Linked DNA regions of Drosophila melanogaster. The protein of the gene in region 2 purifies or fractionates together with the protein of the main gene of each other region. This does not show direct contact. Each region holds a gene or a part of one and is shown on either strand. Other genes may lie near its edges.

Region 1 (8,190 bases), on a different chromosome or scaffold from region 2:
CAGAATGTTGGACTTGCCCGAGCGGAACTCACGGAGCACAAAGTCTCGTTCTGATTGCGACTTGTCACCGTGAATAGCTCCACAACGGACTCCGAAGCTGCGGATGAAGCGCACCAGGTTGTCCACGCGTCGCTTTGTCTCCACGAATATGATAATCTTGCCGGGGCTCTCGCTGGTGTCGTAGATGTCTGACAGGAGGGTCTTCAATCTGTATTGATAGGAGGAAATATTAAATTAAGAAATTTTATAAGAGGAACTTCTCTAAATTCTAGTATCAACTAGACAATTACAATTAGAATTAAGGTCCACTTACTTCTCCTCCTTGCTGAACTCGTCACAAACGTCCACCACCTGGCGGATGTTGTGATTGGCGGACAGCTCCAGCGATCCAATGTTGATCTGGATGTAGTTGCCCAAAAAGTCCTCGGCAAGCTGCTTGACCTCCTTGGGCCAGGTAGCGCTCCACATGAGCGTCTGTCGGTCGGGCCGGATCTGTGAGACGATCTTTCTGATCTGGGGCTCGAAGCCCATGTCTAACATGCGATCGGCCTCGTCCAGCACCAAGTAGGTGCAACGCTTCAGGTTAGTAGAGCCGGCGGAGAGGAAATCAATAAGACGTCCGGGTGTGGCAATGACGATCTCGCAGCCGCGCTGCAGATCCCGCATTTGGCCGCCCTTCGGGGCGCCGCCGAAGACGCAGGTGTTGCGAACATACGACGAGGAACCGAATTCGGTGGCCACCTGCTGGATCTGTTGGGCCAGCTCCCGAGTGGGGGCCAGCACGAGGGCGATAGGTCCGTCGCCCCTCTGCAGCGGCTGCTGGTTGTTGATGTGGACAATAGCGGGCAGGATGTAGCCCAGGGTCTTTCCGGATCCCGTCTTGGCAATGCCGACGAAGTTCGAGCCACTCATGGCGATAGGCCAGCCCTGCGCTTGGATAGCGGTGGGGGCCTTGTAGCCCTGTCGGCGGATCTCCTTCATGACGTAGTCGGGCAGATGGACCTCGGAGAAGTCCTGGATGGGGTTCGGCACCTGTCCGCGCACGGTGATCTCCTGCTCTTCGCGATACCTCTGAACTTCGTAGGGCGATCGGTTTGCTACGTTAGGGTGCTCCTGGTAAAAGTTCTTCTTGAAGGGAGCCAGGTTGGAGAAGTCGACCGGACGCATGGGGAGGTCTTGGCTGCCGCCGCCACCTCCTCCTCGGCGATCCCCGAATCCACCACCACCTCCAAATCGGTTGCCGCCTCCGCGGTCATCGCGTCGCTTCTCGACGCGTCCATTCCTTATGCCGTGGTAATCGCCACCGCCACCGCCGCCACCGAAGCGATTGCCTCCGCCGCCGCCTCCTCGCCGATCATCGCCGCCTCGATCGCCTCCGCGACCGCCACGTCCACTGTGACCAAAGTCGCGATCGTGTGGTGCCCTGGGAAATAATAAAGGAAGATCGATGAGTATCTAAGTATGCAAAATAGAAACGGAATGCTCAAGAAAAGAAATCTCACATCATCATCATCTTGCAGCTTATTTGAACTTAAGGTAGTAGTTTGCAGTTTCTTGTACTGGTTTGATCTTTGACCACCAATTTATCTTGATGCTGTTTTATTCGAGATAAAAAAAATTAAATTAGTGGCATTACAAGTGTTTTTCCCATTAACTTGATAAATTAAAAATTCACGCGTACCCTGTGTGCCTTTTTGTATTGTAATTTATTCTAGATAACTTTGGCAAAATTAATGGTTGCGATGGTAATTGGCTTTGGTAAAGGCAAATGAGATTAAAGTAATTTAATTCTAATATGCTTATCTTGCATTGCCGAAGTTTACTTAGTGTCAAGTATCAAGGGCCTTTTCCTTATTCATGGAAATTGAACGACTTCACGACTTGTTATTTCGCTGCCGTGAATTCAGTGGAATCTTTAAGAAAATATCCCACTTTGAGCTTTGTAACCGAATTTCGCTGAAGTTGATATAGTTTGATAGTTTTCTCACAAACTTTTTAATTTCGCGTTGTACATTTGTATAATCAATTCCTCCTTATCTGCCATCTAAAATAATTTTGCGCTGCACACACATTACCCAGAAACTGTGTGTCATAAATTTTCCCTTGATAAAAGGGACCTTCGAGAATTAAACCATGCTTAACTGGAATCATTTTTTCCGGCTCGGCGTAGACAGCTGCACTTTCTTTTCTTAAGTATTTCTTTGACAGAAAATTGAGGAAAAAAAGAAACGAGTGACTTGGCTTACTTTGCTCGCATGCTGCCGTTTCTAGACGTCTGCCAGTTGGGACTTGGATTTCAACTGCGACTTGGCTTGGAAGGTAAGTCTTCGCTTTTCGATTTCTTTCGACGCTGCTAAACAGCTGACATGGGAGTTGTGCTGTGCTACAACCGCAATAAACTTAAATAAAAACTAATTGCGTGTTAGGGAAATTAAATAAATTTCGAATAATGCAAACAGTAAGGCAAATTTGATTGACAACAACATGCAATTCGAGCAGGGTTTCTATTCACAGCCCACCCTCCCACCAATTTTTCACCCCAGTTTATCAGCCCCTAAATGCTCAACTAAACTAAACAGCCCCATGTACAAAGCCCTGCGTTTATTGCTCTGGCATTAATCAACCTGGCGCAGTTCTAGTTCCAGTCAGAACTGGCGAAGGTACCGACCTATATATGTTAGCACTTTGCAATAATTAGGGAAAAATAATATTAACTCTGCGGAGTGTATATACAATGTGGTAATAAATATAGTGCAAGATTAAGTTGGATGGTAAAGTTGTATAAAACAAAATTTACAACATAAATTATGTTTATTGTGTTACGAACTAACTTCTATAAATTTCCACTTTATATTCGCTTTACTTCGTATGTAAGCTCCATTTTCGTGATCCTAGTGGGCATCACTATGGGGTGCACCATGCAAATCACCCACGATCCAGGCCCACGTTTTTTTTTGTCTATTACTCTGTCAATTTGGAACACCGTACCGCCCTAAACGTCTATTTGTAGGACCCACTGGCACGCTAACGTTTGTGCCCAACTAGCGAAGCGGAACGCTCTGAACATTTATGAGACAGCCAAATGTCTTGCCCCTAGTTTCAACGGTGGGCAAACACCCGAGGGGAGGAGGGGACAGTCCCTGGGGGCACCTTTGACTTTCTGTGTGTCTACCTGTCGCTTTTTGACATGCGAAAAGACGAATCGCGCGCTCGCCAAAGGGGGAGCTCATAATCAATTGGCGTCATTTGACATTTTAGACTAATGGGGCCGTTTATGTGATGGCGTAGTTCACGAACTGGGTTACTATTACCATTTAATATTTGGTTGTTACTTGAGTTTTTATCAATACTATAGTATAACTTTCTAATAAATAATTTTTATTGCATAACAAGCATGGTTCATGATAAGTAAACACAAAAAGAGCGTAGCAAAATAGATAAAATGATCGATAAAATGCATTTTTGATAATCTGTAAGTTAAATGTGTTTGCATGGAACCTTTACTTATAGTGTAGAGAAAATTTTAAGAGAATAACCCTACTTTTCCCTAAAATTGTCCTCAGTATACAGAATTATACTGAAATTATATATTTCAATGTACGCATTAGATAACCAAACGAAGCAAACCATTAACCCCATTCACTTCCCAAATTAAGCATAGTAAGTATAAATCTATGTCGGGATGGTTACATCAAATTATAAAATTGCCAATACCAAAAACATCGCGATATCTCTACAAAACCTCGTGTGAGCCATGGAAAGAATGTGATGGAAAGGCATGCTGGCGAGTGAGCAGGACGGCGCTAGTCAGTGACAGCCGCCGACTGTTATACGCTCGCACACACTGTTCGAACTGTTCTACGAGCACGAGAAAATGCCGCCGTCAACAGGCATTCACGCATACAAGCAAGTCCGTATGTGCCGCTGTGTGAGTGCGCGTGTTCATGTTCGGGGCATACAGACAAATTAAAACGCTATAAAATAGCAAACGAAGCAAGAACACGTTTCACAAATCAGGCAAATTCTTTTTATGACGTGCGCTGTCGTTCTTGTTGCTTTTGCTACTCCTTTGCGGATGTGCGGGGGCAAACACAAAGAAAAAAACAACAAATGGCTGAAAACCTCACCTCCGACTGACAAAATTTAGCAAACCATGTGTTTTTCTCTCTCTCCCCAAACTCTCTCTTTCGCTCACACTAATTACTCATCACCTCGCTTCGTAGGTGTACAGAAAAAAAAAAAAAAAAAGAGGAATGGCACGAAGGGTGATAAAATGGCGACAGTGAGTGGAAAAAACCAACGCATTTCATATGAAATCTTGCGGCGTACTCACATTACTCCTTCAATTTTGATTTCCTCAGTTCTTTCGTCGGGATCGTTGAAAAGCGATTTCCTCGTCCTCGTCCGCTGCTCTGCTTTCGGGATGGAATCTACGTAGTCGTCTGAATCTGGTTTCGAGCTGTCTCGAAACGCACGCTGCGACTGAGCTTGGAGACTACTATATGTGCTTGGGAACAGTATTGTCTCACGATTCCTGCGACTCCCGTGGAACTGTTGTCGTTGTTCGGTGCAGAGCGAAGAAGAAGAAGCGAAAGTGCCGCTGCTGCTGGCGGAGGAGAAAAGAAAATGGCGACGTTGCGTTATACATTTCTCGGAGCTCGCGCCACTTCTCGGGGAAATCAATAGCAAGTTGCCCCAGCCGCAGGCAGTCGGTCGGGGCGTGGCGCCGCCCACCCGGGGGGCTATGTATTGCACAAGCTTAAGCATTTTCCCGAAGACTTAGCTTCAATGCGGTTATGCTAATGACGGATTTATCCTACGCAGCGCGGCATCCGCGCGTGTCTTACCTAACCTCGTCCAAAATTAGAGTGACCCTAGATGGAGGGGAAAAATCGGTCGAGAAGTTGGTGTGACCGCAGCGGGCTCGCATGAAAACGTCTATTAGAGTGACCACCTGGTTGCTATCGATAATCAGCTGAACGCGGTGTATTTACTTGCCCGCTAAGTTTTTAATATTTAAGATTCTGCTGAAACGAACTTTAAATATATCTCGTCGTCGGTCCGTACTCCTAATATTCGGAAATGTCTTAAATTTCCTAGCTATCGATAATCAGCTGAACGCGGTGTATTTACTTGCCCGCTAAGTTTTTAATATTTAAGATTCTGCTGAAACGAACTTTAAATGTATCTCGTCGTCGGTCCGTACTCCTAATATTCGGAAATGTCTTAAATTTCCTAGCCTACCAAAACGTAGTCTGTGCGGAGATTAGTAAATATACCTTAACAAATATAAGCATAAAACAACTTTCTGTGTTGAGCATTTAGCAAAGACTCACCCCATTTGTGGTTTATTTAACATTTTCAATTAATACAAATTTTTTGAAATCTACCAAAAGCGCAAATCTCGCATCATTTTTACTAATATTTTAAAGAATTAAAATAAGGTTGGCTCAATATTCTGAAAGGAAAAATATATCCTATTATTTATAAGAAAATATAATATTGTACAACACACAGAATTTTCATCATTAATTTCAAAATTTCATAGAACTTGCTTGTTGACCATTTCAAGTCTATAAAAAGTAATACTTATTAAAGAAATCTTATAATTTACACATAATTTTATTGCTTACATCTAAAAAATGAGTCTGAAAGAAATCGAAAATTTCACTCGAGTTTTAGCGAATTAAATTGAAAGAATCATAGTTATGATTGGAAATAGCTAAATATAGATATTATGCTGGAAAATAAAATGGCATCTATGGAGGATTAAGTAGCCACATATATTAACACCAGTAAAGAATGCACTTATTTTTCAAAATGCCAAAAATTGAAATTTACGGCACTTTAATGAAAATGAGTATCTGTAAGCTCTTACAAATTTACCAACTACCTCACTGTACTTTATTTAAATATCTTACCACGAACTATCGTATATCGTAATTGTACTGTAAAGGCCATGGTCAATCGGTTTTAAAATTCGGAGAGAACCCTCTCCAAAAGGTGGAGTTGCTGTGTGACATTTTTAACAAATCAATTGATAAAGACAAAAATAGCAGATAACACGTAGCCACCCAAACATCCAGTTCATATGTCCTTCTTCAGTACTAAAATTCCCTGCCGCACTTTTCCTTGGGAGTGTTCAAAAATACAAGAATAAATGTTACAGCCTTCTTCTAGCAAAGTTTCGAACACTGAATTTGCATTTGATTGTAGAACGTGTCAAGTGGATTTTGCTCAATTTCTTAAAGTGAAATATGAAAAACCGGTAAGTAATACGTTTCTTATTAATAATTTTATAAATAAATATATCTAATTGCATTACGAACTATTTTAGTGAAGTTAACAATAAAAACAGATTATATTCAATTTCGTTTTTATACGAAGCATGTTGCAAAGATGACTAAAGATCCCGGGTGTTCTCAGGTATGTTATAATTTTATCCTCCTTTGGGGTATGGAAATATATAAGTGTGATCACCAAGTGACCGCATTAGCAAGCAGTAAAGGCACTGCTTTATCTAGCAGTGTTATACAGGTGCATATGAGATGGCAATACTTTAAACCACGTCTATCTCTGCTAAGTTAAGCAAAATATTTCTATGACACTTGCGCATGTGGCAAGATCAAACCTTTTAGTGATCAAGAAAATTCGTATGCATGCCCACACATTTCTATCTATCTCTTAAATTTTCATAATTGAACCTAGTATACCCGGACCTGCAAGTAATGGATATGTTTAGTTAGTTTGGTGGGTGGGTCAGCCAAGAATGAATATGTATAAGGGTCTACGCATTATTTTATTAAAGTTTATTAAATATCAAATCAATGTGATTCATAACAAATATCCCAGTCTAGGTCCACGTCCACTTACAACCCGAGAAGGTGGCAGAAACTGCGGTACATCTTGGCCCTGCGGCCCTGCAAGCAGCCGTACAGCTCGTTGATCTTGAGGCAGTCGATCTTGCTGATGGTCTTTCGCTGCCCGATCCTAACTCCAGGTTGTAGAGGGGTCATGGTGGGCTTCTCACCCTTCCGCTTGCTGAAGTAAAACTCGCCGTAGTGCATCACGGAGTTGTAGTCGTAGTCGAAGGCGTACTTCCCCTTCTTCTTCGACACCAGCTTGAAGTTTTTCCTAAACCGCGGCACAATGTTGTCCCAGTGGATCTTGACAAAGTTGTCCCGATCTGCTCGTGACTGTTCGTGGTATATGCCGATGGCGTGCATCAGCTCGTGCATTATTCTGCCCTCGCTGCTGAAGCAGTGGGCACTATTCTCGTCGGGTCTCTGGAGGGACACCACCTGCTCACCTCCTCTTCGGCCCACGTAGGACCAACATCCTTGCGGTCCTTCCAAAGGCGGCTCGATCAACAGGTAGTCATCTACCTCCCCATCGTACGGCACAAAGTGCACACACGTTAGGGAGTTGAAGGTTTTTACGGCTTGAATAATGGCCTGTCTTTCCTGATTTGCGTACCGCGGACTTATCTCGAAGGGAATCGTTCCATTGGGCCACAGTCGTTTTGGATGCCTCATTGGATTGACGCCCAGGCGCAGGGTGATGTAGGTGTACGGATCAATGGCGATGTCGCCTTGGAACAAGCGGGGCATGGTCTCCGGATCGTCGATTCCCAGGTCATCGTCACCGATGTCGGGTCCGTAGGGATCGTATTCATCTGAAAGGGGTTTCAAAACTAATTTAGAATATATAATATGCCATATGGTATTTTCTTGAAATTTTAAGGCCCACGTATCGATGTGATGTTATATTTTGGTTATTGCATTGTCCTTTTAACACTCACATTGCGAATTCACTGAACAGAATGAGAAAATACGATATTCCTAAAAGATTCTTTAGTTCGGAGATTAAACTAGAAAAGATCTTTAGGGCTTCACAACTCAAATCAAACAAAAATGGACTTAGTGATTAATAAAGACATGGGAGAAACTGGGAGTGGAACGCACCTTCCGCCACACTGGTGAACTCATGCTCGAAGAAATCCACTCCAGCGGGATACTGGCGGACAGGGAGCTTGGCGCTTTCACTGAGCGTTGTTGCGGATAGCACCAATAGCGCCACCAGAAGCACAGCCACCTGAAGCTGCACCAGCAGCACCACTGATCCACTCAACTGAGCACACATTATAGAGCTGGGATTCGGCTTGGCTGTGACTATATTTCCATTCGATCG
Region 2 (8,068 bases):
TGTATATTACCATAATCGTCGTCATCTGCCGAACACAAATATTATTTACCATCTTATTCTCTCCTTATTATTACACTATCTGTGCGCTATTTAAACTTTATATAGCCCGGTAAATGACGATGTTTAGATTGGCCGCGATATTTATCTTAAGCATTTTATATTCATGCGGCCTCGCTTTGTTTCAGACTATTCATCGAATGCAATAAGCCCTTTTACGAAGTAACTAATTGACCAATTAGAAAATCGTCCTTTGTATATCCTAAAAGCATAAATCGTGAGATATATTATTATTATACCCCCTATTTGCAGGATTAACGAGAATTGTACGAGTATTGTACGACGCCTACACATTTTTGGAAAATGTTTTGAATTTTCTTCGTTTTATTTTTTTGTCCGCGAATTTCTACCGTTACAAAAACACTGGCCATGCCCTCCTTACACCTACAAAACGACCAAAACGGTTACCCCCACACTTATGAACATTTTTTAATTGTTTGCGCATTTATTTCCCCAATAACTATCGATAAGCCAGATAAATTATTGAATTTCTCGTTCGCATTTGGACTAGCTGAGTAACGGGTATCTGATAATTGGTAACTAGACTATAGTATTCTCTCTTATTTTCCAAATATAAATAATAAGCTTTCCAAAGGGCTATATAAGTAATTATATTTAGGACTTTTTAAAGGTAAGATATTCAGTCTCATTTTAAAATTATTTCGTTGAAATATTAGTACTATAAATGGAGTTCATGTGTAGCTTTTTGCGAATGGCATATATAAAATATATAGCAATAAATTAAAATTTATATTTCCAAATACAAAAACAATATTGGCTTACTCTTTTTAATCGCCTGTGTATCAACTTTTGAGACACAATGAACACAATGGTACAAATATGCATACACATAATATTTAGCTGAGTCTCAAAATGCAACGAAGCGAAAATGGCAGTAGCAAGCTGTGAGTGTGTGCATTTCCATTTGTATGCACGTACGTATATATAGGGCCGTATGCTGTTGAGTTTACATATGTGTGAGTCTAAACTACTGTACCAGAAAGTTTAGTAAAATCAGAAACAACAGCCAAATGAGTACGCACTCTCAAAAAAGCTCAAGCCGAGAGTTCGTATATGTTCAAGAGATTTTTTTAAGAGAGGCCATATGTGGTAACCCGCGTGTCGATAATGTATACCATACGTAAAACAAGCCGGCCTACCAAAAATGTTTAACTTTTAAAACTTAAATTTATAAGGTCGTCAAAATTGCGAACAAAAAGTTAATTACGAATTGTGGCTGTGTATTACTATAGGTAGACTTAGACCGCGATTAGAATGATCACCTAATCTAAAATGTTGCATCATTGTCAGTCCTTGTTTGTAGTGAGGGGATTTATTATAGATGTACATATGGGGGGTACCACGAACCCTGCAGTTCTAAAAATTATCAATTATCAAAAACCATCACAAAGTCGTATGAAAATTAAAAAAAAAAATTTTTTAATTTTTGTATTTACTTTGCCAACAACAATTTGACCACCACAACAATTTGCCAACAATTAGCAAAATGACGATTCGCTAAGGTGTTGTCCGAGATGTCGGAAGATGTGAGGAACTATAAAAGCTAGAGGGCTGAGATTAGGAATACAGGTGCCGGAACATAGACGCAGCGAAAGTTCGTTTACTGATGTTGCCACGTACTCTCTAACGTCTACAAACCACCCAAAACTGCCACGTCCACAATTTTTAAAAATGTTTTGATATTTTCTATTAGTCTTGTGAATTTCGCACTTTCCCTAGCTGATACCCGGTAGTCTAAAAGCCGAAAAATTCGACTATACAGCTTACTCTTGTTTATGATTATCTAAATTTTTCTATTTAGCTAAGTTGTTTGTGGAGTGAAAGGGTACACTAGATTCGTTGAAATTTATGTAGCAGGTCAAAGGATATATATATATATCGTATATATATAAATAAATATATATATATATATACGAGTCAATCTGACAATGCCAGGTTATCCTCACGTTGGTCGTCCGTCTGTGTAAACGGAAAAAGGTCGCAAAACATATAATAAATTAAATAAATTCAAAACATTTCAAAAAGCTGTGGCGTTGGAGTGACAACTCTTCAATCCAACTTAACTTTCTTGATTCCACTGTGGACGGAAGTACTGACGAAGCCCACCAGAACAATGCCGAATCGACTACACACATACATACACACGAAGAATTGAAAGATTCTGAGGTTTTGTCATTTTAAAAAAATTAATGGTTCGAAGAAAAACCGGTGAAGATTAACTTCAGCCACAAAAATTATTAACAAATTTTGATTAGTTCTTTAAACTGTAAATTTCTGTCGCGTGTTTTGTCTGCAACGACACGTTTTTTAAATCCTATTTGTTTTCTGTCACACAGGTCGGTATTTTAAACATTAGTTGTAACCATTATGAAAAACTACGCTACTTCAGCGGGAAAGCGGCTATACATATGTAAATATACGAGTATATCCAGATTTTACCCTGTCTAAATCCCTCAAGTTAAACAGAAATTTCCCTTGGCGAGGAAAAAATCGGACTGACAACACCTTCAATTTCACGTTTAGATATTACGTTCTGCGACGTAAAATTGAGTAAAGCACTCTTATTTGCGGAGTGTTTGTCTTTTAGCTCCTAATATTTCAGTTAACAGAATATTGGCGTTCAAAAATAACATGTGGAAGCAGTTTTGAAAATCGCTGGGGCTATCAAGGCAGACCAAAAATTTTTATTTTTCGGACTAATTTTACATAACTTTTTCTTAGAAACTCCCTGTTCACGAAAGGAAAGAAAACAATATAGCAGCACTATCCTCAAGAATCTAGGATTCTACAGGTACGCACATGATTAAAGCTTGGAAGGGATTAGTCATTTTTGAGCCCGATAAGGCGGAGTTCCGACTACAAGGGCATTGTGATATATTTTAAAATAAGTCAAAATATACACAAATACGAATACGAATTAAAAGCATTGACAGGGTGTATTGTACATTTGCGCACATACATCTATAAGTGTATGTATCAATTTATTTTTACTTATACTATTCTTTATACTCTAGTCTGTGCTGTCCCGACAATTTGGATTCGGATTTACGGATACGAAATACAGTCCCGATACCAAAATAAAAGATAAAAGACTAGTCGCTACTCTTCTCGTTTTTTCACATCCATATATACACATCTATGTACATATCTGCTTTACATATGTATTTCTGTGGGTTCACAGAGATGCTGTTTCTGTTTTCGCTTTCCAAAGTGGATGTGGCAGATGGCAGCGAGAGGAACGGAGAATGACCATAAACGAGGAGAGAACTGAGAGACGACCAACAAAAATAAGTTTGCGTGTATTTGTATTTATGTAGAAAATGTGTGAGTATATAGGTGGTCATATACTCACGTTTCGCTCGACGGTTTAGGCACAGGATAAGTACGGGGGAAATCGCGAACACAGTACGTAACAGTTACATTTCCATCGAAGTAGCAATTGAAGCACTGCTCCTTAACTAGCGTTCGCAGTATGATGCACATTTTGCATAATTTCAATTTCGAATGTACATGCAGACATATGTATGTGCACACATGTCGTGTATGAATACACACACACCCGAAGAACAGTAGTATGCCGCAGAATTTATTAATTTGCCTCACAGCACCGTTGCACGTTTAGTCGTTAATTTAAATTCGCGATGTATCGGAATCAAAACAGAATTCTGGATGAGATTTATTATAATTTTCCACTTTCTGCTGCTCATGCACGACGAACCACAAACAGCAACCAACACCAATAACGCCGCAAATAGAAAGACTAGGAAAAAGGAGCTTTGCTGACTTATTTGCAGTTTATCGGAGCTTTTTCGGTCAGACGACGCGTTGGATGGGTTACGTTGTCTTTCGTTACGTGCTCGCAACGGAGCTCCGAGAAATTCCCTAACGCGTTCTGCCGGATTCTACACGTACATAGATCGAGCGTTCCTTTTGGATGGCTAGTCAAATCAAATCAAACTAGGCCATTTTACTCAATCTACACATAAACATTGACTGTACAACATGCTCAAGCTTTCGCTGTGACTCAAAAACACTCCAAAACTCGGATTTGCATCAGTCTTCCTACAAAGGCGTTAAGGTATTTCAGCTCTTTTGGGCTCCATTCCCCTCCGTTCTGAACCTACGAATTTTCAGTTTTATCCGACGAACAAATAAAATAAGGGAGTGTCGATGTCATTTGTAAGGGGCAGTGCGTGTGTGTGTAGATGTTGTACGTTTTTTATAATTTTTTTCTTCCTGGACTTAAGTTTAAGAACTTAAGTGCTAGAGTAAAAATACCCAGTGTTGCAGTAGGAAACAGTATAAAGCTCCTCCATTTATTTGCAGTTGGCTCTAGCACTCCTTTCATGAGCACTTACATATATTTTTAAGTGTGCATTGCTAATATGTGTACTTTTGGAAGCTCCATTTAAAAAGTTCCCACCTTTCGTATTTGGTGCACATTTTCCCAATTTATTACATAAACTGTTTTATGACAATGTTGAATTCAAGTTTGAGTTCCCGTATTCGCTCGTATTAGATGAATATGTATACAAAAATCAGCTTGCTAAGTTCAAATTGTGTGTGTAAAATGGTTTTACCCGTAGTGGCATACATACATACATACATATGTACACATGCAAAAACCTTGAAACTGTTTTCTTGGGTAGTCGAATCAATTCAACGAATGCGATGGTGAACAGCTGATACATGTCAAACACGTACTCATGCAATGTAAACATCTAATTCCTGTACTTAACGGGATATTAGTTTGTTTATACAAATTTATGAATTCCTGGACTGGTAGTTCACTCAATTGACAGGGAATTACACATAATTTATTGCCAGATAAATATAATGCCTTGGAAAAATTATTTATTTATGTATGTACAAGAACGTTATAAGCAGTTTGGAAAAAAGTAGACATGTTCAAAGTGTATGTATGTGCATATATGTGTGTACATATATATATAAATATGTACATAATATATATATTTATATATGCATTTACATTTATATGTACGTTACGTCCTATGACTTTACTTATGTACATATGTCTATACGGATTCTTCTTATTGTTTAAATTAATACCGTTTGGTAAAAAGAAATTTCAAACTAAAAGTGAATAAAATCTTTTCAAAATAAGTAAAGAAAAATTACATCAATATACATTTTAATGCTAAAGGTCATTGAACATTTTACAAGCTTTATGAATTTTAATAAATTTTAATGTAAAAAGTAAAAATTAATTCATGCCATCCTGAACAAGAATATATACATACATATTTACATGTATATTTGTAACTCTTTAGATAGATCTTGGCGTCACAGCATGATTAAACAAAAACAACTAACGAGGTATTAACTTCTGACGATTGAACAAAAACGAATATACAAAAATTCTGATTTGTACTTTTATAACGAAAAATTATTTTATATTCAACTAGGAAACTATAATATCTGAAGTATACTCGACACCATTTATCAATATATTTCGCTGGCCTTTCATGCAAGTGTTCCGAGAAAGCACGTAGAATATTAAAAAAAATATATTATGCTGTGATCGTTTTGGGAACGCGGCTTACAATTTTAAAATAGTATAGTATTTTCACTTTCACCGCTTCTCTTCCGAACGATATACACATGTAATGGTCTTGGATGCAAGCCCTTAAGTTTTTGCATCTGCATATGCATTTCATCATGTACATACATATATAGTTGTCGCCTTTGGACACTATCTTGCTGCGCAACGTCACTACGAGGACTTTCGTCCACTGTGATATGTTTTGGCAGGATATATGTATGTATATTAACATACAATATGGTAGGTACTATAGGTAAGATTGTTAGGTCGGTATATTTTTATTCTATGTAGCCAAAATTAGATCCTACGAAATTTACTCATATGATTTAGGTATTAAAGGAAGTTAGTAAACAAAAACGAATTTACAGAAAAAAAAACAAACACAGCTGCTGTGCTGCTACTCTACGATATTAATCATAATTATCTATATTATATTTAAAGCAGGGGAATGTTGTACACCGGACAAAAAGAATGGTTATACTATTAACTATATGCTGTCGTGTTGAGGCACAAGAGTAGTGTAACATTAAAAGTGTGTCGCTGAAAAGGAAGGAAGCGTAACTATCTACCAAGCTTCGAGATTTTATAAATAGGTGGTCTCGTAATGTCCGATTTGGGAAGTGGAGATGATGGCATCTCAGGATCAAGTAAGTGAGCCGCATATTAATAAATATATAACAACTTCCATATTTTAGAATATAATGTTGCAAATATGGAGGGTTCCTCAAGTAGGAACGACTTCGATTCTTCTGCTAAAGGTAAAAATGCCACATGTATAATTTATACTATCTGAACACGTCACATTCTTTCGCGTCAGGAGGAAGCGGCGTCGAACAGGAATTGGCTACGAAAATGTTGCAAATACAATCTAAACGATTTTATTTGGATGTAAAACAAAATAGAAGAGGCCGTTTTATAAAGGTTGCTGAGGTAAATCATCTGATTAGAATTTTGTTATCACTTCTATTTTATAAAGAAAAGCTTTTGTTTGATTTGTATAACAGCACCTTTTGATAAAATTCACAACCATGGAACGTTATGTATAACAGCTTTAAAAATTTCAGATTGGCGCTGATGGTAGACGAAGTCAAATTTACTTGGCTCTTTCAACTGCAGCCGAATTTCGTGACCATTTATCCTCATTTAGCGATTACTACGCTTCTCTAGGTATATACAGTCCCATTGTAAAATGTTTATTTTTATCAATATTATTTTAAATACGAAAACTTTACAGCTCAAAGAAGCTGGGTTCGGAAAAAATATAATTTTTGAAATTTGAAAGCTGGAATCGTTTGCCCATTTTTTGCCCAATTAGTTTTTTTTGCCCACGTCCAGTTTTTGAGATAAGAATTTTCGAAAAAGTTCGAAAATGTTCGAAAATCAAACATTTCGCTTTTTTCAATTTTTTTTTTTAATTGCAACAACATCGTTTGCCCACCCTTTAGAATTTTGAAAAAATGTATACTTTAGAAAATATAAGGCTTTAAAGTTTACCTCGGTCTAATCAGAGAGTAAATCGTTTGCCCATCTCTTAAAACCAAATATAATCAACAAAAAACGTTTGCCCAACCATTATTATTAGTTTTTATCGTTTGCCCACCCTTTAAAAAACCTTTAACAAACATTTTTTTTCGATTGCCCACACTTAAAATACAACCAATTTCGTTAGCCCACCTCTTTAAAATAAAAATTTCCAATAAAAAACGTTTGCCCACCATTTAAAAATAAATAATTTCGATTGCCCACCTTTTAAAACTAAATAATTTCGTTTGCCCATCCTTTAAAATTCATTTTTAACGTTTGCCCACCCTTTAAAAATAAATTATTTCGTTTGCCTATCCTTTAAAATTAATTTTTAACGTTTGCCCACCCTTGAAAATTAATTTCTAACGTTTGCCCACCATTTAAAAATAAATAATTTCGATTGCCCACCTTTTAAAACTAAATTATTTCGTTTGCCCATCCTTTAAAATTCATTTTTAACGCTTGCCCACCCTTTAAAAATAAATTATTTCGTTTGCCCACCCTTTAAAATTTGTTTCTTTCGTTTGCATTAAAAATGAATTTTATAGGATGGGCAAACGAAATAATTTAGTTTAAAAAGGTGGGCAATCGAAATTATTTAGTTTAAAGAGTGGGCAAACGAAAAAAACCAATTTTAAAGGGTGGGCAAACGAAATAATTTATTTTTAAAGGGTGGGCAAACGTTAAAAATGAATTTTAAAGGATGGGCAAACGAAATAATTTATTTGTAAAGGATGAGCAAACGTTAAAAATTAATTTTAAAGGATGGGCAAACGAAATAATTTAGTTTTAAAAGGTGGGCAATCGAAATAATTTATTTTTAAAGAGTGGGCAAACGTTAGAAATGAATTTTAAAGGATGGGCAAGCGAAATAATTTAGTTTTAAAAGGTGGGCAATCGAAA
Region 3 (8,101 bases), on a different chromosome or scaffold from region 2:
ACAGCAAACAGTGACAAACACAGTTGACTGCACTTCAAGGCATTGTTTGAGTAGGGAGATCTTTATCTTTTACATATGATGTGGATTTAAATATTTTTCAAAGAGTTCAGAAAGCTTTGAAAAATGCTGGATGCTTTTCTGTTCGGTTTAAACATTTTAACTTTACTTAATATCCATAAATCTATCTCAAAACTGAAATATATTTAATACTAAAGACTAACCGCAAAGATGCTGATTGTTTTTTTTTTTTACTAAATTAAGTTTTTTTTATATGCTTCCAAGCAAAACCTTTAAAGGGTGTAAAAGCTTCGACATGCTGACAACTCTTTTTCTCTCTTTTCTTCCAAGATTTATGTTGTGTTGCAGCAGTTTGTTGTTGCACGATGCGGCCGTGCTGCTTCTGCAACTGTACATTTGTTATTGCTTGTCGCTGTGCATGCCGCTGTCTCTGTCTATCTCTTTAGCTGGGTTTCATTGCCTGGTTTATTGTTGTTCTTGCTGTTTTATTGATGAGCTGCAGTTGTTTAGCCAGCAGCAACATCTCTCTTTTTTTTAATCTTGCTTATGTGTCTCTGTTTTGAAGCTTGGCACGTACGCCTCTTTTATTTATTTATGTGTGAGGGTTTTCAGGCTGGCTATCTCCCCTTCATTTTCCCGTCTCACTCTGTTGCATCTTCACGTCAATTGGCTTTGGGGCAGAAACAGAGTAGAATTTATTTTTCAGTTTTTAGGGAGCCATAAATTTTGAGCATTCGCTCTTGGACAAATTTGTTTTTCGTCTTAGCCAGAGTTGCCAGACTCGCAGAGGAGCTCCACTGCAGCCACATTAATCAAAATTATTCAGCTTAATCCTAACCATTTTCAAATCAATTAATCACAAGTGATGTGACGTCAGTGGGAATTTTGATAAGCACACGCTTGAGTAAACAATTTTCAGTTCCCAAATCAAAAGTCATTAGGACTGGTTGGCCCCATCAAATGCATTTGCATTGACGGACACGCCTCAATAAAGGTTAGAAAGTTAGTCTTTTCGTATACTTGAAGTGCATTTCTTATCGTTTTTCTTATTTGTTTTATTTGTTATGGTTTCGGGGGCTCACAATTTCGAATTTCCGTCTCATTTCCATTCCAAAACATTTTTTGTTGTTTAGTTTCCTCAACAATTGTTTACAGTTTTAACTATGCACTTCCTCCCGTGAGAATGAAACGCACACAAAGAAAAAAAGAGGCAGTCAATTTTATTTTGGTTGACCCGTTGACTACGAAAACATTCAGAATTTTCCAATCCGTAAAGATTTCGTACTTTACTTTATGTTGTTTAGGTTATATCATATTTCGTTTTTTTTTCTGTGTAGATACTTTTATGTGTCACTTTTTTTTAGCGGAAGCAATCGTTTTTGTATTATTTTTGTTGTCTTTTTACACTGAGTCTGCTTCACCTTTTCAGTATTCGTAGTGCAAATGGAATTCAATACAAATAATGCCTCAACGATTTTCGAAAATTCTCTAAATGCAACTTGCGGTGTGCAAAAAACCTCAATTGAAACCCTCAACCAACGAGTCACGTCTAATTTGCGAATTGAAAACGGACAACAGAGCAAGAGGAACAAGTGAAAAGCTTGATAAGGGGTGATAAAGGGGGAGGCAGCATAAGCAATGAATAAATAAAGCCCACTGCCCATGTATTTCTATGAGTAAATTCGAATTAGCAACAAAAGCCAGCAAACAAAAAGAGCAAATTTTTATTTTATTTTTTTACCTTTTTTATAAGCAATGTGTGCGAAATGACGTCATGTATCGCAAAATATGTAGCTAAGGCAAATGGAATGCTCGAATTTGATATGATGAGTATATAGAACAGGAAGTAAGGTAATAGAAATCGAAGAATGTTGTAAATAGGTAGGTAGTTAGTTGGTGGCAAAGGAGAAATTCCTTATAACTTAAATTGGGAATGTTGTTGGCTTGTTGTAATGTGGATATGTAGGTACTTGTATAGAAACAGCAATCTAACAAGAAAACGTAACCAGCGCGAAGGTTCTGATAAGATTGCGGGAGAGCACACACACAATCGAACTCCTATGACTTGCATAAGAACATCTATAGAAGGCTATATATAAAACAAAGTTTTATAGGAAACATTGCTAATTTAAATTATATTAAATTCTATAAGCGTAATGTTTCATTTAAGCATAGCGCATTGAATTGGGTTAAAGAATAATTAAAGTAAAAGGTTATCAATTCCTATTCGTTCAAGATTACAATAAATTACAGAAATATCAAGATGGGCTCTGAATGACAACAAAAAATTTAAAAATCGAACTGACTGAGTATCAAGAACTACCTCCGATACCTATAAAGTCTATTTTGTAGGCATTGGGTTGCACTGACAAATGGCATAAACAAGTTTTCAATATTTACAAATCTGTTTATCACTTGTTGCTGCTTTTCACTATTTACTTTGCTGAAAGGCGAGAGACCAAGGAGGAAAAGTGGGTCATGAAACTTGCCCACAGATGCGCGCCAGCAGGCGGATTTATTGCCCAAGTGCATTAGGCACACGGCTAGAGATTTGCAAGTGGCATTCGCAACAAATTGCCAAATAAAAGATGAATAAAATCAGCGACGAGAATTGGAAAATGGGTTTTTTTTTTAATCTGACAAGCGCATAGAAAGCCGGAGGTAGAAAGAAGCATGAATCATATGGAAAGGAAAAGCACACGCACACACAATCACACCCACCCGAAAAAAGAGAAAGAGAGAAGAAAAGTGGCTAGAACTAGAAGCTCAAACAGTGGCGTCTGAATGGGGGTCAATGTGGTGCTACACCTTAAACATTTGCTCATATTTCCGGATAAATTTAAATATAATATGTTCTTGATCTTAAATGACATTTATGACCCCTGAATAATAATCTGTAGTTTCGCCACTGTCTATGAAGCATAACAACAAAATAGACACACTACTCACTCACACACGCCGTGTTGCGTGAGCTTGACCAAACCCAAAAAACAAAAACAACACTTATTAGAGAAGCACAAAAGATGGCGTCACCGGCCGAATTGCCGCTCATCGTCATAACGGTTAAAACGAATGCAGGGCACGAGGGGACATTCACTATTTAACGGGATTATAACACATCATCCGGTAGATGCAAGAATACTCACCGGTACTTTTAGTATTCTTTTAAATTCGTTGATCCTCCAGTGGCCGCTAACACAGGCACAGGTCACAAATACAACGGTCACACTCACTGTATGTGTTAGAGGAGAAACGCACGCGTTTTTTATAAATGTATTCTCGCTCTCGCACCTCGGTTTTTGGTTTTCAGCCGCTAATTCGTACAAACACACATACGCCACAGAGGGAGACTATCAATAAAAGGGGAGGGAGAGGGTAGAAAATTTTAATAGATTTAACTTTTTATTGCCTTGAATGCAATATGTTTAAAATAAATAATTTTGTTCTCTTTTGGGCTTCTTGCACTACACCAAATAACTGTTAATATTTTTTTTTTTGCAAAATTGCCGCTCCTAACAGCACTTAGCACTTTTAATTCTTTGAATTAAATTTTAGTTGCACCGCAGCGAATAAATATTTCAAGTTGAATTGCCTACGAGAACTTAATCCAAAATCGTACGGACACGTCCGACGGGCAGAGCACGAATGAAGCGCAAAAGAGAACTGCGCACGGACAGTGGCAAAGAAGCCGAGAGAGAGAGGGCGGGCAGTGTTAGGCAACGTCAAGTGGAGATGTTGAAAACAACTAAACTGAAGTAACTTCCAGACAAACTGGCTTCCAAACGGGGTTAACTAAATTCGGTAAACAATCGAAAAGCATTAGTTTGCCTTGCAAATCACTCAAATTGCGCAAAAGTGTTCAAGAGAATACGAGAAGAGAGCGAAGGAAAGTGGGAGAGAGAAAGAGAGTTCTTCATCCTGCAACGCCCAAATATACACGCTTGTGTGTGTGCGAGAGAGTGTATGGGGAGGAACGAATATTTGGAGCAAAGCGCAGGGGAAAATAGCGGTGCAAGTCCTTTTTGCCACCTTGACCACAAACAAAAAACGCCTTTTTTGGCGCTCTCTTCGCACTTTTAGGTATTCTTCGCACAAAAACTATGTCAATTAAGCCGCACACGTCGATTATGTCATATTATTTATACGAATACACTTTCACACACAAGCGCCGCGCCATATACACACATTCGTGTCCGTGCGTGTGTGTGTATGAACGGCGTCGCATTCTCGTCACCGGCAATGCCGTGAAAAAATCGATGGTCAATTTGCTGTACGGGTGTATTCGCCTCTATTTTCTCGTTTCATTTAATAAAGTCTATCACTAATTTTAGAAGCCCACTAATTGGTCAATGGGTTCGATAAAACCACTGCTTACAATTTGTAAATGCTGAACTTCACGAAATTTCGCCCGCGTGATGTGTTTCGTTTTCGATATTTCGTACTACGATTTTGTTAGGGATGGACAAACCTGACGCATGTCAATGGGTCGATATTTGTTTGAAATATCGATGCTCTTATCGAAATATTTTTCAGTAAAATCGGGCGATTATCGATATATTTACATTGAAATAGGGCTGGCAAATCACAAATTTCGGCAAAATACTTCGATAAAAATAAATACCAAAACATTCGATAGCAGTCAGGTGTTGAGCTACAGATATAAATATTTGTAGTGAGTAAATATCTCCGTGCGGTGAAGGTGCGTGGTTCCGTTACTTTATTGTTGTGCTGTGATTTTGGGGAGTGAAAGTGCGTGATTCGATTCGGAAATCGTTCTCTCGACCAATCAAGGTCCGTTGGAAAATGGGCAAATATATATAGTATTAGAAATATCAAGTGCCTATGACGAATATACTATTCTTTACGAAAATATGGTGGTCACGGGAATGAGCCAGGCCAGAAGAATGCATTAATTACCAAACCTGTTTGGGTTTCGCCGTAGAATTACCAATGTTCGCAAATACAATAACAGATGGGTCAGCCAATCTAGCATATTTCGCCCCAATTAAAGGCCAATTTACTATTGTCACAGAAATATATACCCTATATGTGTCGTACATATGTAGTAGTTCCATGGGTCAATGTCAATATCCCGGCTTAATATGGATAAAAAACGAAGCTTAATCTCCCGAATGGCGCACACCCTTTGAGTCACTAGAGAATCTCATGCTTCCGAATGATGTCACACAATATAGCATATATATATAGCGGCTACATATGTATAAATACAGCATTGTATATGTAGAAACATTTGAATTATATTTGGGTGCGAACCGAGACATTCTTGTCTCCAAAGTATAATTTCAGTTTGCGTGAATTAAAGTAATTTCATTTAGCCCGACTTCCAGTCACACTGGGAATACTAACGATTCTGTAATGCTCGTTAAACCATATTTATGTCTCTGGGTGTGCTTTTAATTCCACCGCGAGGCTTATAAGTAAATATGGGCGATATAAAAAATATTGGATGTTGCTAACTAGTCATCAAATGTTTGAACAATAAATATTTATTAATGGGTTTTTAATCTGAGGCGGCACCTTACACTGCTAACTGATATTAAACTATATATGTACATATATTTTCAGATATCTGCACGATGGACGACTTGAGGGGATTCTTGAGGCAAGCGGGACAGGAGTTCCTCAATGCAGCTGGTGAGGCTGCAATGGGAGCGGCCAAGGATGTGGTCGGATCGGTGATCAACGAGATCTTCATCAAGAAGGAGGCCGACACCAAGAGGGTTCTGCCCAGCATCAAGAATATGAGAGTTGTAAGTTGACCCACACGGTTATCAACAGTTATTTATAGGGCGCTATACTATACTAAACAAACATAGAAAACAATCCATTGAAATCTACATATGCATGTTAACAAATACATATACATTCCACTCATTAGCAACCATTGCAATCTCAAAGTAATAGTACGTTGTACTATGGGAACGTAAGTACCTACTCCCGTCATCGTAATGGCATTGACATAATTCCATTCCAAGGATAATGCGCTGCCAAAGTGTCGTACTGTGTTGTCCTTGTGTTCTTTTTCTTTCGCATGTAAAGTGTAAAACGCATCATCGTTTATACAACTCCATTACACAACTTTATCGTGTACATACATAATACTCTTAATCAAGTTCATCAATTTTGTTAGATTCATATCACTAATAGCATGTATTTTTTAGCTGGGAGAGAAGAGCTCGAGCCTGGGACCCTATTCCGAGGTGCAGGACTATGAGACAATATTGAACAGCTGCCTGGCCAGTGGTTCCCTTTTCGAAGATCCACTTTTTCCGGCTTCGAACGAGTCTCTTCAGTTTTCCCGGCGTCCAGATCGTCACATCGAATGGCTGAGACCTCATGTAAGTTTTAGATACTACCATATTACCCGTAACTAAAGGTATAAATGCTTTAATTATAAAGGAAATTGCCGAGAATCCCCAGTTTTTTGTGGAGGGTTATTCGCGTTTTGATGTTCAGCAAGGCGAGCTTGGTGACTGGTAAGAACAAAATCTCTATTTCCGCAGCCAGAATAATTAATAGTTTTAAATAAATGCTTACATTTACAGTTGGCTCTTGGCTGCCACAGCCAATTTAACTCAGGAATCCAACCTTTTCTTTCGGGTAATTCCAGCGGAACAGAGTTTCGAGGAGAACTATGCTGGTATCTTCCATTTCCGCTTTTGGCAGTATGGTAAATTATTTATTAAAAAAATTATTCATGCGCTTCTTACAATTTTAGTTTAAAATTTTAAGGTAAATGGGTTGATGTAATCATTGATGACCGTTTGCCCACTTATAATGGAGAGCTGATGTACATGCACTCCACGGAGAAGAACGAGTTCTGGAGCGCCCTGCTGGAGAAGGCTTATGCCAAGTAGGACTACATTATTCACATACTTTATGGTCAACTGATGTATATATGCTTTCTAGACTTCATGGATCCTACGAGGCACTAAAGGGAGGCAGCACTTGCGAGGCCATGGAGGACTTTACTGGCGGCGTATCCGAGTGGTACGATTTAAAAGAAGCACCCGGCAATCTATTCACCATTCTGCAAAAAGCAGCTGAACGCAATTCCATGATGGGATGCTCGATTGAGCCTGATCCAAATGTCACGGAGGCAGAAACTCCTCAGGGCTTAATCCGTGGTCACGCTTACTCCATAACCAAGGTTTGTTCGGAAAATTGCTATGATAAGAACATTTTATTAATTAATCTTATGTCAACAGGTTTGCCTTATTGACATAGTAACGCCAAATCGTCAGGGAAAGATCCCTATGATAAGAATGCGAAATCCTTGGGGCAATGAAGCCGAGTGGAATGGACCATGGAGTGATAGCTCACCAGAATGGCGCTATATACCCGAGGAACAGAAGGCGGAGATTGGACTAACATTCGACAGAGACGGAGAGTTCTGGATGTCCTTCCAAGATTTTCTTAACCACTTCGATCGCGTGGAGGTAGGACTATTAATATTTCTTGGTGAAATATTTCATGATTCATTCGCCATGATTTTGTTCAGATTTGCAATTTGTCGCCGGACTCACTGACCGAGGACCAACAAAACAGTGGCAAGCGAAAGTGGGAGATGTCCATGTATGAGGGAGAATGGACACCCGGTGTTACAGCTGGTGGTTGCCGCAATTTCCTGGATACCTTCTGGCACAACCCCCAGTATATTATCACCCTAGTCGATCCTGATGAGGAAGACGAAGAGGGACAGTGCACCGTCATCGTGGCCTTAATGCAAAAGAATCGCAGATCGAAGCGCAATATGGGAATGGAGTGTCTGACCATTGGTTTCGCTATCTATAGCCTTAATGATCGCGAACTGGAAAACCGTCCCCAGGGTCTGAACTTTTTCAGATACAAGTCTTCTGTGGGAAGATCGCCGCACTTTATCAACACCCGCGAAGTACGTATACGGATATATCCAGGATATGGCTGCAATCACTTAACATATGCGTTTCTTATTTAGGTGTGTGCTCGCTTCAAATTGCCTCCTGGTCACTACCTGATTGTGCCTTCAACTTTCGATCCAAACGAGGAGGGAGAGTTCATCATTCGAGTGTTCTCAGAAACT

Evidence for each region.
Region 1: the proteins of Pur-alpha (region 2) and Rm62 purify together in Drosophila melanogaster (affinity purification with western blotting; one study listed by BioGRID). This does not show direct contact.
Region 3: the proteins of Pur-alpha (region 2) and hts purify together in Drosophila melanogaster (affinity purification with western blotting; one study listed by BioGRID). This does not show direct contact.

The regions. Positions count from the first base shown.
Region 1 is NT_033777.3:6,003,704-6,011,893, forward strand, and holds the start of Rm62 (Rm62), read right to left. Parts: upstream 4,871-8,190; 5' UTR 4,768-4,870; coding exon 4,334-4,767; intron 4,026-4,333; exon of another isoform or gene 3,743-4,025; intron 2,412-3,742; exon of another isoform or gene 2,258-2,411; coding exon of another isoform or gene 2,247-2,257; intron 1,595-2,246; exon of another isoform or gene 1,514-1,594; coding exon of another isoform or gene 1,503-1,513; intron 1,424-1,502; coding exon 314-1,423; intron 209-313; coding exon 1-208. Other genes in the region: CG10280 (uncharacterized protein), read right to left, coding at 6,870-7,693, 7,965-8,190. UniProt on the Drosophila melanogaster protein: As an RNA helicase, unwinds RNA and alters RNA structures through ATP binding and hydrolysis. Involved in multiple cellular processes, including pre-mRNA splicing, alternative splicing, rRNA processing and miRNA processing, as well as transcription regulation.
Region 2 is NC_004353.4:554,013-562,080, forward strand, and holds the start of Pur-alpha (Purine-rich binding protein-alpha), read left to right. Parts: upstream 1-4,003; 5' UTR 4,004-4,156; intron 4,157-4,210; exon of another isoform or gene 4,211-4,288; intron 4,289-5,651; exon of another isoform or gene 5,652-5,881; intron 5,882-6,082; 5' UTR 6,083-6,245; coding exon 6,246-6,288; intron 6,289-6,336; coding exon 6,337-6,399; intron 6,400-6,458; coding exon 6,459-6,571; intron 6,572-6,705; coding exon 6,706-6,808; intron 6,809-8,068.
Region 3 is NT_033778.4:19,420,430-19,428,530, forward strand, and holds the start of hts (hu li tai shao), read right to left. Parts: upstream 4,475-8,101; 5' UTR 4,394-4,474; intron 3,686-4,393; exon of another isoform or gene 3,369-3,685; 5' UTR 3,165-3,368; intron 1-3,164. Other genes in the region: CalpA (Calpain-A), read left to right, coding at 5,616-5,789, 5,918-5,962, 6,201-6,377, 6,439-6,515, 6,585-6,709, 6,772-6,892, 6,949-7,189, 7,248-7,478 and 2 more. UniProt on the Drosophila melanogaster protein: Required for assembling actin at ring canals in developing egg chambers. Probably interacts with other developmental proteins involved in nurse cell/oocyte transport through the ring canals. Important for normal neuromotor function.